3 linked regions of the Caenorhabditis elegans genome follow. The protein of the gene in region 2 purifies or fractionates together with the protein of the main gene of each other region. This does not show direct contact. Each region holds a gene or a part of one and is shown on either strand. Other genes may lie near its edges.

Evidence for each region.
Region 1: the proteins of daf-31 (region 2) and ZK795.3 fractionate together in Caenorhabditis elegans (co-fractionation; one large-scale study listed by BioGRID). This does not show direct contact.
Region 3: the proteins of daf-31 (region 2) and hpo-29 fractionate together in Caenorhabditis elegans (co-fractionation; one large-scale study listed by BioGRID). This does not show direct contact.

The regions. Positions count from the first base shown.
Region 1 is NC_003282.8:12,557,529-12,561,296, reverse strand, and holds ZK795.3 (Brix domain-containing protein ZK795.3), read right to left. Parts: upstream 1,933-3,768; 5' UTR 1,932-1,932; coding exon 1,813-1,931; intron 1,758-1,812; coding exon 1,691-1,757; intron 1,646-1,690; coding exon 1,451-1,645; intron 1,378-1,450; coding exon 1,011-1,377; intron 851-1,010; coding exon 720-850; 3' UTR 625-719; downstream 1-624. Other genes in the region: snb-7 (V-SNARE coiled-coil homology domain-containing protein), read right to left, coding at 121-429; ZK795.2 (DsbC domain-containing protein), read left to right, coding at 2,371-2,411, 2,516-2,618, 2,929-3,062, 3,144-3,207, 3,254-3,310, 3,469-3,601.
Region 2 is NC_003282.8:8,288,412-8,292,033, reverse strand, and holds daf-31 (N-alpha-acetyltransferase daf-31), read right to left. Parts: upstream 1,762-3,622; 5' UTR 1,758-1,761; coding exon 1,611-1,757; intron 1,559-1,610; coding exon 1,299-1,558; intron 876-1,298; coding exon 734-875; 3' UTR 538-733; downstream 1-537. Other genes in the region: K07H8.2 (SLC41A/MgtE integral membrane domain-containing protein), read right to left, coding at 199-302, 390-449; nucl-1 (Nucleolin homolog 1), read left to right, coding at 2,516-3,128, 3,175-3,485, 3,586-3,622. UniProt on the Caenorhabditis elegans protein: Catalytic subunit of the N-terminal acetyltransferase A (NatA) complex which displays alpha (N-terminal) acetyltransferase activity. Plays a role in regulating larval development, metabolism and longevity.
Region 3 is NC_003281.10:234,135-238,881, forward strand, and holds the start of hpo-29 (N-alpha-acetyltransferase 16, NatA auxiliary subunit), read left to right. Parts: upstream 1-1,709; 5' UTR 1,710-1,715; coding exon 1,716-1,790; intron 1,791-1,843; coding exon 1,844-1,928; intron 1,929-3,615; coding exon 3,616-3,878; intron 3,879-4,747. Other genes in the region: hpo-38 (DUF19 domain-containing protein), read left to right, coding at 579-640, 785-899.

The sequences.
Region 1 (3,768 bases), 4.3 Mb from region 2:
ATCTCCTGTGTCATTTAAACGCCGCAAGACCCCTGTGTGCCTTTAAATGATCACTACATTCCATTATTTATTGTACACACAAAGCGTAATGCCAATAAATAGTTTTGATAGAGAAATGATTTATAGGAACGAATAGGCAAGTCCTGCAAATGCGGAGACACTTGACACAGCAATGATCCCGTAGCGAAGAGAATTGGCCTTCCAGCTCATCTCTCGTTTTATCTTGACGGCGCATTTGACGTACACATCCGATGCCTCCTCGAGCCTCTGAGCTCTTTCAACAAGATCATCAAGTTTTCCCTGTCTCTCCATGATTTTTTGCACATTCTCCTTCATAATGGCCTTCACCGAATCCAATTCTCTTCTTGTTCTCATAATCTTTTGATCGTCCCAACCGACACGGCTCACTGGTGGTGGTTGATGATTCATGCAGTAATTAGTGTCCGTTATTCCAGAACTGTTTTAAATTTGAAACTGTCTTGACAGGCTTTGATCTTTGAATTCATAATATTTTCCCGCCGCCCGTCCCCATGTCCTGCCGCCGTGAGCTAAACAATGGTTGTTATTATTTCGACAATTTTTAAATGTTCTGTAATTTTTGAATCAAAAATTCTAAAAATCTTTTTTCGAATAAAAATTAATTTCATGAACGAAACAAAAACAATTTCAAGGAGAAAACAATAAAAATCAACAAAACATTTTTAGAGAACAAAATATTTTCATTCGTCGTCATCAGCTCTGGAGATGCTGAGGAATGTACGTTTACGGGCAGTATTTGTGTAGGATCTGAGCACCCATTCGTCTTCGGCAGCCGCCAGAGTCTCGAGAGTTCCCAGCTTGATTTGGTAGGCTGAAAATTTGGAAATTAAAAAAAAAATCAAAATACTTTGAAATGTGAATATTTCATATTTCTCGCTTAGTGTTTAATTTCAGCGCAAAATTGTGCTTCGATAAAATAGAAAATGCCCATAATTGTTTCAATTTCCGCTCTTTTATCAAAATTTTCTTACGTTTGAGCTCAAATCTTGGTCCAGCTTCAGTCAGTTCGACTTCTCCGTCATTTTCAGTTTTATAGACGTGATGTCTGAAACTGATGTAATCTTCTGAATTGGAAAATGTGATGATTCGCTTTGAATCCGGTTTTGGCACCGGGAACAAGTGTTTGAGGATTGTGGTGAAACGATGTCCCAATTTCGAATTTAAATTGTCGAAAATCAAATGTGGATACTGTTCGGACATTGTTCCACAATTTGGAATATCGTGTCGCATTACGACATTTGCCATTGAAAAGAATGCAGTTGGACCGAATGGAAGATGACAAACAAGCATTCCATCTGGATTTCCACGTGTCTCCGTGAAGATAATCAGATCCGTTGACTGAAAAATTAATTTCATATTAGAAAATTACTGAAAAGCTGATAAAATTTCAAATATTCAATTTTCCACTAACATCTTGAGCCTTGGACGCTTGCACAACTTGCTTAACATCATAATGACCACGATTGATTCTCTGTGCGTTTGGAAAGATGAGCTTCATCTCCTTGGCGAACATTTTCAGCCGACTTGATGGATCACGGGACGTCGTGATCACAATTTTTGGATCTTGAGCTCCAGCCCAACGATACTCGCTGTCTGTTTCGTATTGCTGAACAAAAATTATTGAAACTTCATCAAAAATCGCGAAAATTACCTGTCCTCCCCAATCGGAGCCTTTCGCCAATTCGATTGCGTCTTTTCGCAGATTATAATCGATTTTTCTGAAAATATTCGTATATTACGAATTTTTCAACATATAAAAGCAAAAAAACTAACGTATTATTCTCCAAAGCATTGCGAATTTTCTCTCGTTTTTCCTCCAAACTTTTCTGTTTCTCCTCCAACGATTTTCGGAAGATAAACTCGCGGCGAAGACGATTCTCGCGGCGAATCATTCTGAAATTTTTCAAAAATTCAATTTTTAAAATTAAAATCAGATGTAAATCGAATATAACATCGAAATTTCCCATAAAAATGCCTAAGAAAAAATAAATAAAACTATTGTGCGTCAGATGAAATGCCTCATACGTAATGTACGCAAAAGTGTACCTGCAAGAAAATGCGCGCGAGTTTTAAATTTAGTTTTTTTCTGAAAAAGTTCAAGAAGTATTTCGTTGAAACTCATGGAATTTTATCATAAATAAAATAATTAATTAAAATCTAGAAAAATTAATTAATCGATATTGTTTTGTACTTGAAAAATAAAACTCCGAAAAATAAAACAAAACGTGACCGTTTGCCATTTGGCAAATATTCAACATTTGAAATTAAAGAAAGCAATAATTAATCCAAAAAATCAATCATTGTGAAATCAAATCGATTCGTTGTTCAGTAATGATCATATCCATTGGTTTCTTACTGTTCTTGGCTATAAGGTGAGTTGGAAGAGTGGAAATTCCAATGTTTCAGATCTCTTCGTGAGAAATTCCAGACTTTTCTGTCAAGTTCTAGTTCTATTTCTTAAAAGTTTAATTTCCAGCCCATGTCATTCTCAAAGTGGTTCACTTTCCGGTTCAGGTGCAATTAAGATGGTCGTGATGGGGAAGGACACTGATGTCGCCTGGCAAAAGACAATTGACGGGGTAATATTTGAAATCTTGTCAGACATGGTGCATCGGAAAGTGTGCGGTACATACGTGATGCCAGAGTGTCTCCTTTCGGCTTGATCTGCGTAGATCTACAAAAAATGCGGGAAAAGAGACGCAGAGTTCTCAACTGATTTTGCATGGTTAAGAACGTGCTGACGTCACATTTTTTTTGGGCGAAAAATTTCCGCATTTTTTTGTAGATCAAACCGTGATGGGACAACCTTGCCCTACGTGAGTACATGGTCACATTATGCATCAGATTTCACGCGCAAGTCACGAATTTTTAAATGTTTGGTTTTTCCAGATTGCCTTGTACATTGCAAAGCATCAGGTGAAATCTCCGCAAATATTCGTTCATGAGAACGGAAGTATTTGCGAATTCATCGGAGGTGTCGATAGATCAAAGATGCGAGCCGACTTCATTCTGGTTATCAAAAAGTAGGCTTGAAATTTCTTCGGAGAATTGTCTTGGCCTCATGGACCTTTTTTTATATTCTGATAAAAAGGGGTTTTTTTCAGACATACCAGCCAAAAATTGAAGTGTGATCCTGAGTGGGGACGTCAAAGTTTTGGGGTTTTGAATGTGAGTTGCCGAGATGTCGGATCACTTTTTTAAATTCGAATTTCAGATCGAAAAGTACCCAACTTTGTCCCAAACTGATGAAGATTTGGCTTTCACCGCAAAGGTAAAAATTTTATTTGAAAAATCACAAAATGCAAGTGAGCTCTACCAAAAAAAGTGTAGTTCTCCTCTAGTGCAAGGTTTTAGAACCTTTTACACTGAAAACTCGTGGAAAATTTAATTTGCAATTTAAGAATATGCCGAAATCACCGAATTTTTCAGATAATCTTCAACTCATCAGAGACGGGTTCTGCAAAACCAAAAACTGTAAAATCCATGGACCAACTGATCAAAATCCTCGAACCAAAGTTTATGGCTCCGCTGAGTCGGATTCCGGATGAATATCCAGAAACAGGTACGGTAACTCCCCCCCCCCTCCATGGAGTCATAATGTCTTATTTCGATTTGATCTTCGAAAAAATGCGGGAGCTGAGACGCAGGCATCTCATCTGGTTTTGCATGGTTAAGAGCCCGCTGACGTCACAATTTTTCTGGAAAAATATTCACGCAAAAATATTTCAG
Region 2 (3,622 bases):
GGATTTGCGTTGAGGTTAAACTGTTTCTCCCTCCATAATGTGTGAGACCGAATGATTTTTGAAAACAATTCCATGTGTCTGTTCAATGTTGAAAATACGAACTCGGTAGTGAGCCAGAATTTTATTTGTTGAAATGTTAGAAAATAGTGCTACATTTTCAACAATGAGTTTTTTTTCGAGAATAACCGAATCACTTACATAACTCTGGAAAATAAACTTCCTCCTGGTGTAGCTGTTTCTGCGTCCATTGATTTACCGACATCTTCAAGTGCAATTCCCAATTGATCGAATGTTGTTAATCCCTGAAAAATTTAGATTTAAAATCTATATTTCATCTGAATCACTCAAAACTATTAAAAGGAATAACAGAGTTTTTAATAAAAACTTACTTCATGAACAGCTGATTGATAGTCCTTTTTGCCATCCCCTATTCCACCGCCACCTTTCATCTAAAACATTAACTTTAAAGGTCGAAATAAATATTTACAGATATTTGAATACAGAAATCAACTGCTTATAACATCTACAAACCATTTTAATGCTTTAAATTTATTAATGAGCTTTCAAAGGGGGATCAAAGAGATTATTCAGGGGAAAACTTAAATTTTTACCTAATCTAAAACCAGAGGAGGAAACGAGAATTGAAAGAAAAGAGATCCTCCTGAAAGGGGAGAACAGAGAAAGTATCAGAATGAACCAGTTGGAAAAGGCAAAAATAAACTTTGATAACGAATTAACTGCGATTTTTCTTTTTATCGTCAGTGGTTTTTGCAGTGGTATAGGCCTCTCGATCTGCTGGCTCGATGTTCCGTTCTTCTGCCCATTTTGCGAGATCGCGACGCATAGCGTATGCATCTTCTCCATCCGCGTAATATCTGGAATTTGTCATTTTTGTTAATAATTAGGGTTAATAAGGTTCTAAAAGTTATCATAATTTGCAAATTGAAGTATGTTTCTTCTGATTGATGCCAAAGTTTAATCACCTCGCTCGCATATTTTTGTTTATTGTTTTAAAAAAGCGCCACGTTATTAAACGTAATTATTTTTCGAAACATTTTGTCCTTTCACTGATAATCACAATAACCTTTTTCAATTTGAACTTGACTTGGAACAAAAATTAAAAATAGGTGAACCAAAAAAGAATACAAAATTATTTAATTCCATCACTTCTGTAAAAAGTATAACGTTGGAAATCGAACGGGTGATTGGGAAACGTCGATTAGAATTTTTTCAGTTGTTCATCGAGGGACGAACTAATCCGCGCCGAGAAATGAGGATTTATTCAAATTAATACTTACTTTGGCTCTGTATCCACAATTTCGAATTTCAGTGTGTTCTTGTATAGATTCAATGCGGCTCGGTTTGATACACGAACATGAAGCGATACGTATTTAGCGTTGTAGGTTTCGACCATGGCTCTTGCGGTCTGATCCATCATTTTATTAGCCAATCCCAGACGTCTGTAAGATCTTTTGACGGCCAAAGAGGTGATATGACCATGTGGCTCCTCTCCTGGGTCTTCTTCCATTTTGGCGAGAACATATCCAACAACATTTCCCTGAACAACAATAAATGTTTCAAGTCAAGATTTGCATGAGAATAAAAAATACCTTGTGATCTTCAGCAATATAAGAGAGCTGCGGCCAAGAAAGAGCGTGATAGAAGTAGTATTTCATTTGATAATTCTCTGGAAGGCACATAAGATTCGCATTTTGCATGCTCATCAAATCGTCCACGCGAGCACAACGAATGTTCATCCTGCTGCAAAGATAGAGCAGTTGAGTAAACGGCACAAAAAATTCGGAAGCGAATGCAAAAGGAGAAAAAAATAGAGATTAATGGAGGATTTGCAATATACGAGCTTGTAAAAAAGTTATAACTCGAATTCGCCGAGGGGCAATACACCGTAGAAATAGAAACGTGGATAAGGTGGCACGTGAAACTTAAGTTTTTACTAAAACAATTAGGAAAGAACTATGTATCGCAAATGACAGAGTTTTGCAAATAAAATATTTATATTAAACTATTTTGTTCAATTTTAAAAGAATATCACGCAATATAAATACGAACAAACATTCTAATTGATGAAAACGAATTCTAAAAAGTGTATAATTGACAGTTCAAACGGTTTTGATAACAAACAAAAAGAAATGTACGGAAAATCCAGTTTTTATTGATTTGTCGAATTGTTGAAAGCCGTTGCAAGCCGGCTGCCGCCAGCAAGAAAATTAACGTTTAAAGGCGCATGCATTTATTCGAGAGATCGTGGCGAGACCTGCGCCCGCTTATCGATGAATTTCGAATTTAGAAACATTCTCTTTGTGTACTTTTTCATGTTTATCACTGAAATAAATCGCTTTTCTACGTTTTTTGAAGAAATTTTCTGCTTAAAAATTACTATAATGCATAAAATATCGAAATATATCATTACAACACATTTGGTCGCTGTTATTTCCTGATTTAACTCTAATTAGGACTTCCTAACTTTATTTTATTTATTTCAGGTACAATCAAAATGGGTTTCGACTCACCAAGAGGACGCGGAGGCGGAGGCTTCCGCGGTGGTCGTGGTGGTGGCAGTGGCTTCACCCCACGTGGTGGCGGTGGTGGATTCCGAGGTGGAGATAGAGGACGTTCTCCAGGCGGATTCCGTGGAGGCGATAGAGGACGTTCATCAAGCGGATTCCGAGGAGGAGATAGAGGTCGCTCACCAGGAGGATTCCGTGGTGATCGTGAAGGTGGATTCTCCCCAAGAGGACGTGGTGGAGGCTTCCGAGGTGGTGACCGTGGTGGATTCCGAGGTGGAGATCGTGGAGGATCTCCATGGCGTGGAGGAGACCGCGGCAACTTCCGTGGAGGTGATCGTGGTGGCTCTCCATGGCGAGGAGGAGATCGTGGTGTAGCTAATCGCGGTCGAGGAGATTTCTCTGGAGGGTCCCGTGGTGGCAATAAGTTCTCCCCTAGAGGAGGCGGTCGTGGTGGCTTCACACCTCGTGGACGCGGTGGAAACGATTTCTCACCGCGCGGAGGAAGAGGAAACTTCCAATCTCGTGGGGGAGGCAGCCGAGTTGGTTTTAGCGATAAGAGAAAACAGTATGATAGTGATGGAGATGACGACGAGGAAGAGGGTATAGTGCTGATTTTAGATTTATTTGCAATTATTCAATATTCCAGAAGTCCCGAAGAAAAAGCTTGCCACCGGAACTCCGTTTGCAAAACAAACAAAACCAGTAGAAGACGATTCTGGTGAAGACGAAGAAGATGAGGAGGAGAGTGATGAGGAGCCACAACCACCAAAGAAAACTGCTAAGAGTGCCATTGCTACGGCTGCTGAAGATTCTGACGATGACGAAGAGGACGATGATGAGGAGGAGGAAGAATCTGATGATGACGCTCCGCAGGTCAAAAAGTCTGTTGCTGTTGAGGAAGATGAAGAAGATGAGGAAGACGAGGAAGAAATTGAAATGGACGAAGAAGATGAGGAGGTATGTTTTTTTTTTCTCAAAGGCTGATTTTCTTGTGAAAATTTCTTTGGAAAATGTTGCAATGTTTATTTCGAGTTTCCTTTAATATTATTGTTTTCAGGAAGAAGAGGACGAGGAGGAGACCGAGCCTGTCGCTA
Region 3 (4,747 bases), on a different chromosome or scaffold from region 2:
ATCACCAAAACGGAGGATAATACGAAAAAATTGTTCATGAAAATGGAGTTTTTGAAGTGCCTACACTCTCCTTTGGCTAATTTGAGCACTTTTTCCGTGCTAGAACCTGAAATTTTCAAAAACAAAAATTTGGTGCCCGGGACGGTTCATTTACGGTCCGTCTACGGGCCGTCGACGGACCGTCTACGGACCGGAAACGGCCCAACTACGGCTCAAGAGCCATCTCGGTCGGTAAATGTGGTTTTTGCTCTGAATAATGCATTTAACGACGTAAAAATGCTTGAATTAGCCAACTGGTATCATAGGTATTTTAAAAAATTCGTTTTCTTAAAATCCATTTTTTCCTCTTAATGGCCATTTTTTACATTCCCCGTAGTTTGCCCGTAATTGGTCCGTCCCGCTTTTCATATCCGTAGTTCGCACGTTAATGGTCCGTTCCCGGTCCAAGATCCGTAAACGGACCGTACCCGCTTTGCCTGTGTGACGAGCTTAAGACAAAATATTACGACTTTTTGTCAAATTTCGGGTCTCGAAGCGAAAATATCGAAAACTTTGGATTTTTTTTTGGGTTTTTCCAGATCTGTCAGAGCTGCATGCCGGGAAGTGCCCCAATCTGCTTCCAACGCAACCCCCGCTTCACGTAAGTCCTAAAAAAGCGGGAAATTCGAATTTTTGGCTAAAAAATCAGAGTTCTGGCCTATTTTTCTCGATATTCAGTCAATTTTCCACGGTTTTTTAGATTTCCCCTCGTTTTTAGACTTTTTCTCAACTCATTAAGCTTCAGAGGCCTCGCCCAAGTCTGCCTTTGCACCTACAATCTGGAAAATCCCATCGACAACGCCGCCTTCTCACTTCGCCACGAAAAACGTGTGTTCAGCCGCAAAATCCGCCGTACCTGATGACCCCCGAATTGATATTTTATGTGCTTTTTCATTGAATAAACTGCAATTTGTTGGATTTTCAAGGCTTTTTCAGCTGAAAATTCAATTTTCGGCTCATTGTGCATTTTTGCGTCATGGTGTTTGTTTGAAAATATGGGTTTGTCCAGGTTTTTCCCAATTTTTATAACATTTTAGCATTATTTTCGATGATTTTTCAGATTTTTCAGCTAATTTCAGATTTTTTCAGATATTTTCTGTATTTTCAGACGGTTTTCCAAGAAATTTCACTTGAAGCCCAGCGAGAGAGCGTGCAAAACGAGGAGAGTGCGCGCGCCAGAGGACGAAAACTGTGCATTTGTGCGTGGCGGTGTTTGCGGACTCACTGCTCATTTCCCAGAATTTCTCATCAATTTTACACTATTTTCGATGGATTTTCGACGTTTTTTCCCAAAAAATACACGTTTTTCGTGTTAAAACGTGGAAAAACGTGTTCCGCGCCTTTAATTTGCCACGGGGCACACGGAATTTCGGAGATTTGGCAGTTTTTTGGCGGAAAACACCGATTTGTTCGGCGGGACAATTTTGTTTTCTTAGATTTTCAGCGTTTTTTACTGATTTTTTTGCTTTTTCAGTGGTTTTCTGCTATTAAAACTGTCAAAATCGAGTTTTTCATGCCTTAAAACCCCCGGAAACCCTACATTTTAGGCCAAAATTCATTTTTTCGCGGAATTTAATCGTTTTTAGGCTCAAAAAATCGATTTTCTTCTCGTTTTCGTGCTCTTTTCACGTTTCCTCACCGACTTTCACCTCAAAAATCCAAATTTTCAGGTAAAAATGCCGACACCACCAGGACAATCGAGCAGCCAGCCGTTGCCAGCCAAAGAGCTCGGTTATTTCAAGAAAATCGTGGTATTTAACTCGAATTTTGCTGAAAAAACCGAAAAATCACTCAATTTTTGCAGAAAAGCTACGAGCAGAAGCAGTACAAAGCGGGTTTGAAGTTTGCGCAGAAGATTTTGACGAGTCCCGGCTTTGCCGAGCATGGAGGTACTGCTGGACCGGAAAATCTGAAAAAATGATGCGAAAAACTGGATTTTCACGGGTTTTTGAGTGGAAATTCGGTTTTTCAGCTAAAAATTCGAGTAAAATCGCCATTTTATGCAAATTTTATCCGGAAAAACTCATTTTCCAGCCAAATTACAGGAGAAACCCCCGAAAATTAAGAATTTCGCCAGATTTTTGTGAAATCGGGTGCAAAATATCCCAAAAATTTGATTTTGAGCCGATTTTTCAATAATTTTGACTCAAAATTTGAATTTCTATGAATTTTGGACCGTTTTTCCAGATTTTTCGCAAAAATAACGAATTTTGACGCGAAATTTGTCCAAAAACCTGGTTTTTAACCGATTTTCGCCGAATTTGGACCATTTTTCCCATAAAAATCTCAATTTTCTCAAAGAAACGCTGGCAATGAAGGGATTAATTCTAAATTGCATGGGAAATTCGATGTTTCTGTTAAAAATCGAATTTCTTAGCGAAAACGGCTGAATTTCGGTGGAAAACATTCGAAAAATGGTGATTTCGGCACAAAATTTACTTGAAAAATGAATTTTGAACCGATTTTTCTACATTTTTGACTCAAAAATTGGATTTTTGGCCCGAAATGTACTTAAAAAAATGAATTTTGAGCCTATTTTGGCCGATTTTGGACCGTTTTTTCCTAATTTTGAGCTATTTTTGGCCCAAAATGTACTTACAAAATCGATTTTAACCGATTTTCGCGGAATTCGGACCATTTTCCCCAGATTTTTCACAAAAAAATCTCAAAAAAATTGGATTTTTCCGCACAAAATTAATTAAAAAATGAATTTTGGCCCATTTTTCCTCATTTTTGACTCAAAAAATTGGTTTTTCGCACGAAATTAACTTTAAAAATTGGGTTTTAATCGATTTTCGCCGGGTTTTGACCCATTTTTCTTCATTTTAGACCCGAAAAATCGGTTTTTGTCATAAAATTCACCTAAAAAAATGAATTTAAATCGATTTTCGCCAAATTTGGACCATTTTTCCAGATTTTTCGAAAAAAAAATCTCGAAAAATTGGATTTTTTCGGCACAAAATTAATTCAAAAAATGATTTTTTGCCCATTTTTCCTCATTTTTTGACTTAAAAATTGGTTTTTGGCACAAAATTCACTATAAAAATTGATTTTTAACCGATTTTCGCCAAATTTTGACCAATTTTCGTGATTTTTACCCCCCAATTTCGCCCATTTTTCTTGCAGAAACGCTCGCAATGAAGGGTTTAATCCTAAATTGCATGGGAAATTCGATTTTTCTGTTAAAAATATCAAAATATACTGTGGGAAAATCGAATTTCTCAGCGAAAATGACCGGATTTCAGTGGAAAACATTCGAAAAAAATGAATTTTAAACCGGTTTTTGCCAATTTTGGATCGGTTTTTCTTCTTTTTGGCCCCAAAAAATTGGCTTTTGGCACAAAATTCCCGTAAAAAATGAATTTAAATCGATTTTCGCCAAATTTAGACCATTTTTCCAGATTTTTCACAAAAAGTCTCAGGAAATTGTTTTTTTGCCCAAAATTTACTTACAAAATCGATTTTAACCGTTTTTTGCCAATTTTGGACCGATTTTTCTTCATTTTTTATCCAAAAAATTGGATTTTCACCGATTTTCGTCAATTTTTACTCCAATTTCACTCATTTTTCTTGCAGAAACGCTCGCAATGAAGGGTTTAATCCTAAATTGTATGGGAAAACTTCAAGAAGCTCAAGATTGTGTTCGTCGTGGACTTGTATCGGATCTCCGTTCATATGTCTGCTGGCACGTATTTGGACTAATTCAAAAGACTGAAAAGAAGTACGATGAGGCAATTAAGGCCTACAAACGGGCCTTGATGCTGGAAAAGGACAATTTGCAGATTTTGAGAGATTTGAGTCTTTTGCAGATTCATATTCGTGATTATGACGGATATTTGGTAGGTTTTTTTGATCGAAAAAATGACGAAAAACGGTTGATTTTGAGCTAAAATCTGGAAAATTCGCTGATTTTTGCTTTTTTTTAAGTGAAAATTCCATAAAAATTGTGGAATTTTGGCCAAAAACCAGGATGTTAGCACGTTTTCCGTGAAAATTCCATTCGAATTGATCAATTTCGGCTGAAAAACGAGAAAATTGACAGATTGATTGCACTTGTCTCTGTAAATTCCACACAAAACCCGTGTTTTGGGCGTTTTTGTAGTCAAAATTGACGAATTTTGACCCAAAAATCAGGAAATCGGCATATTTTGCCGAATTTTGACTGAAAAATTGGGAAATTTCACACAAAACTCAAGTTTTGGACAGTTTTAACCGGAAATTTCAAAAATTGATGATTTTTGTCTACAAAAACTGTTAAATTTACCTAATTTTGGTGCTGTTGAGTGAAAATTTCATCCAAAACCCAATTTTGAACACTTTTGGAGAAAATGCCTTGGAAATAGTCGAATTTTGACTGAAAAGCTGACAAATTAAAGGTTTTGGCACATTTTGAGTGAAAATCGACGAATTTTGAGCCAAAAACAGGAAAATTGACCGATTTCGGTGTTAGAGAAAATGCCTTGAAAAATGTCGAATTTTGACTGAAAAGCTGACAAATTTACTAATTTTGCGGTTTTTTGTGGGAAAATTCCATTGAAAACGGCTAAATTTGACCCAAAATTCGAGTTTTGGGCTTTTTTTTTGGTGAAAATTTATGAATTTTGGCCAAAACTTTGGGAATTTAAATGATTTCGGGGCTTTTTCTGTGAAAATTCCATTGGAAATACGATTTTTGGCCAAAAAATGGAAAATTTAACCCAAACTATGT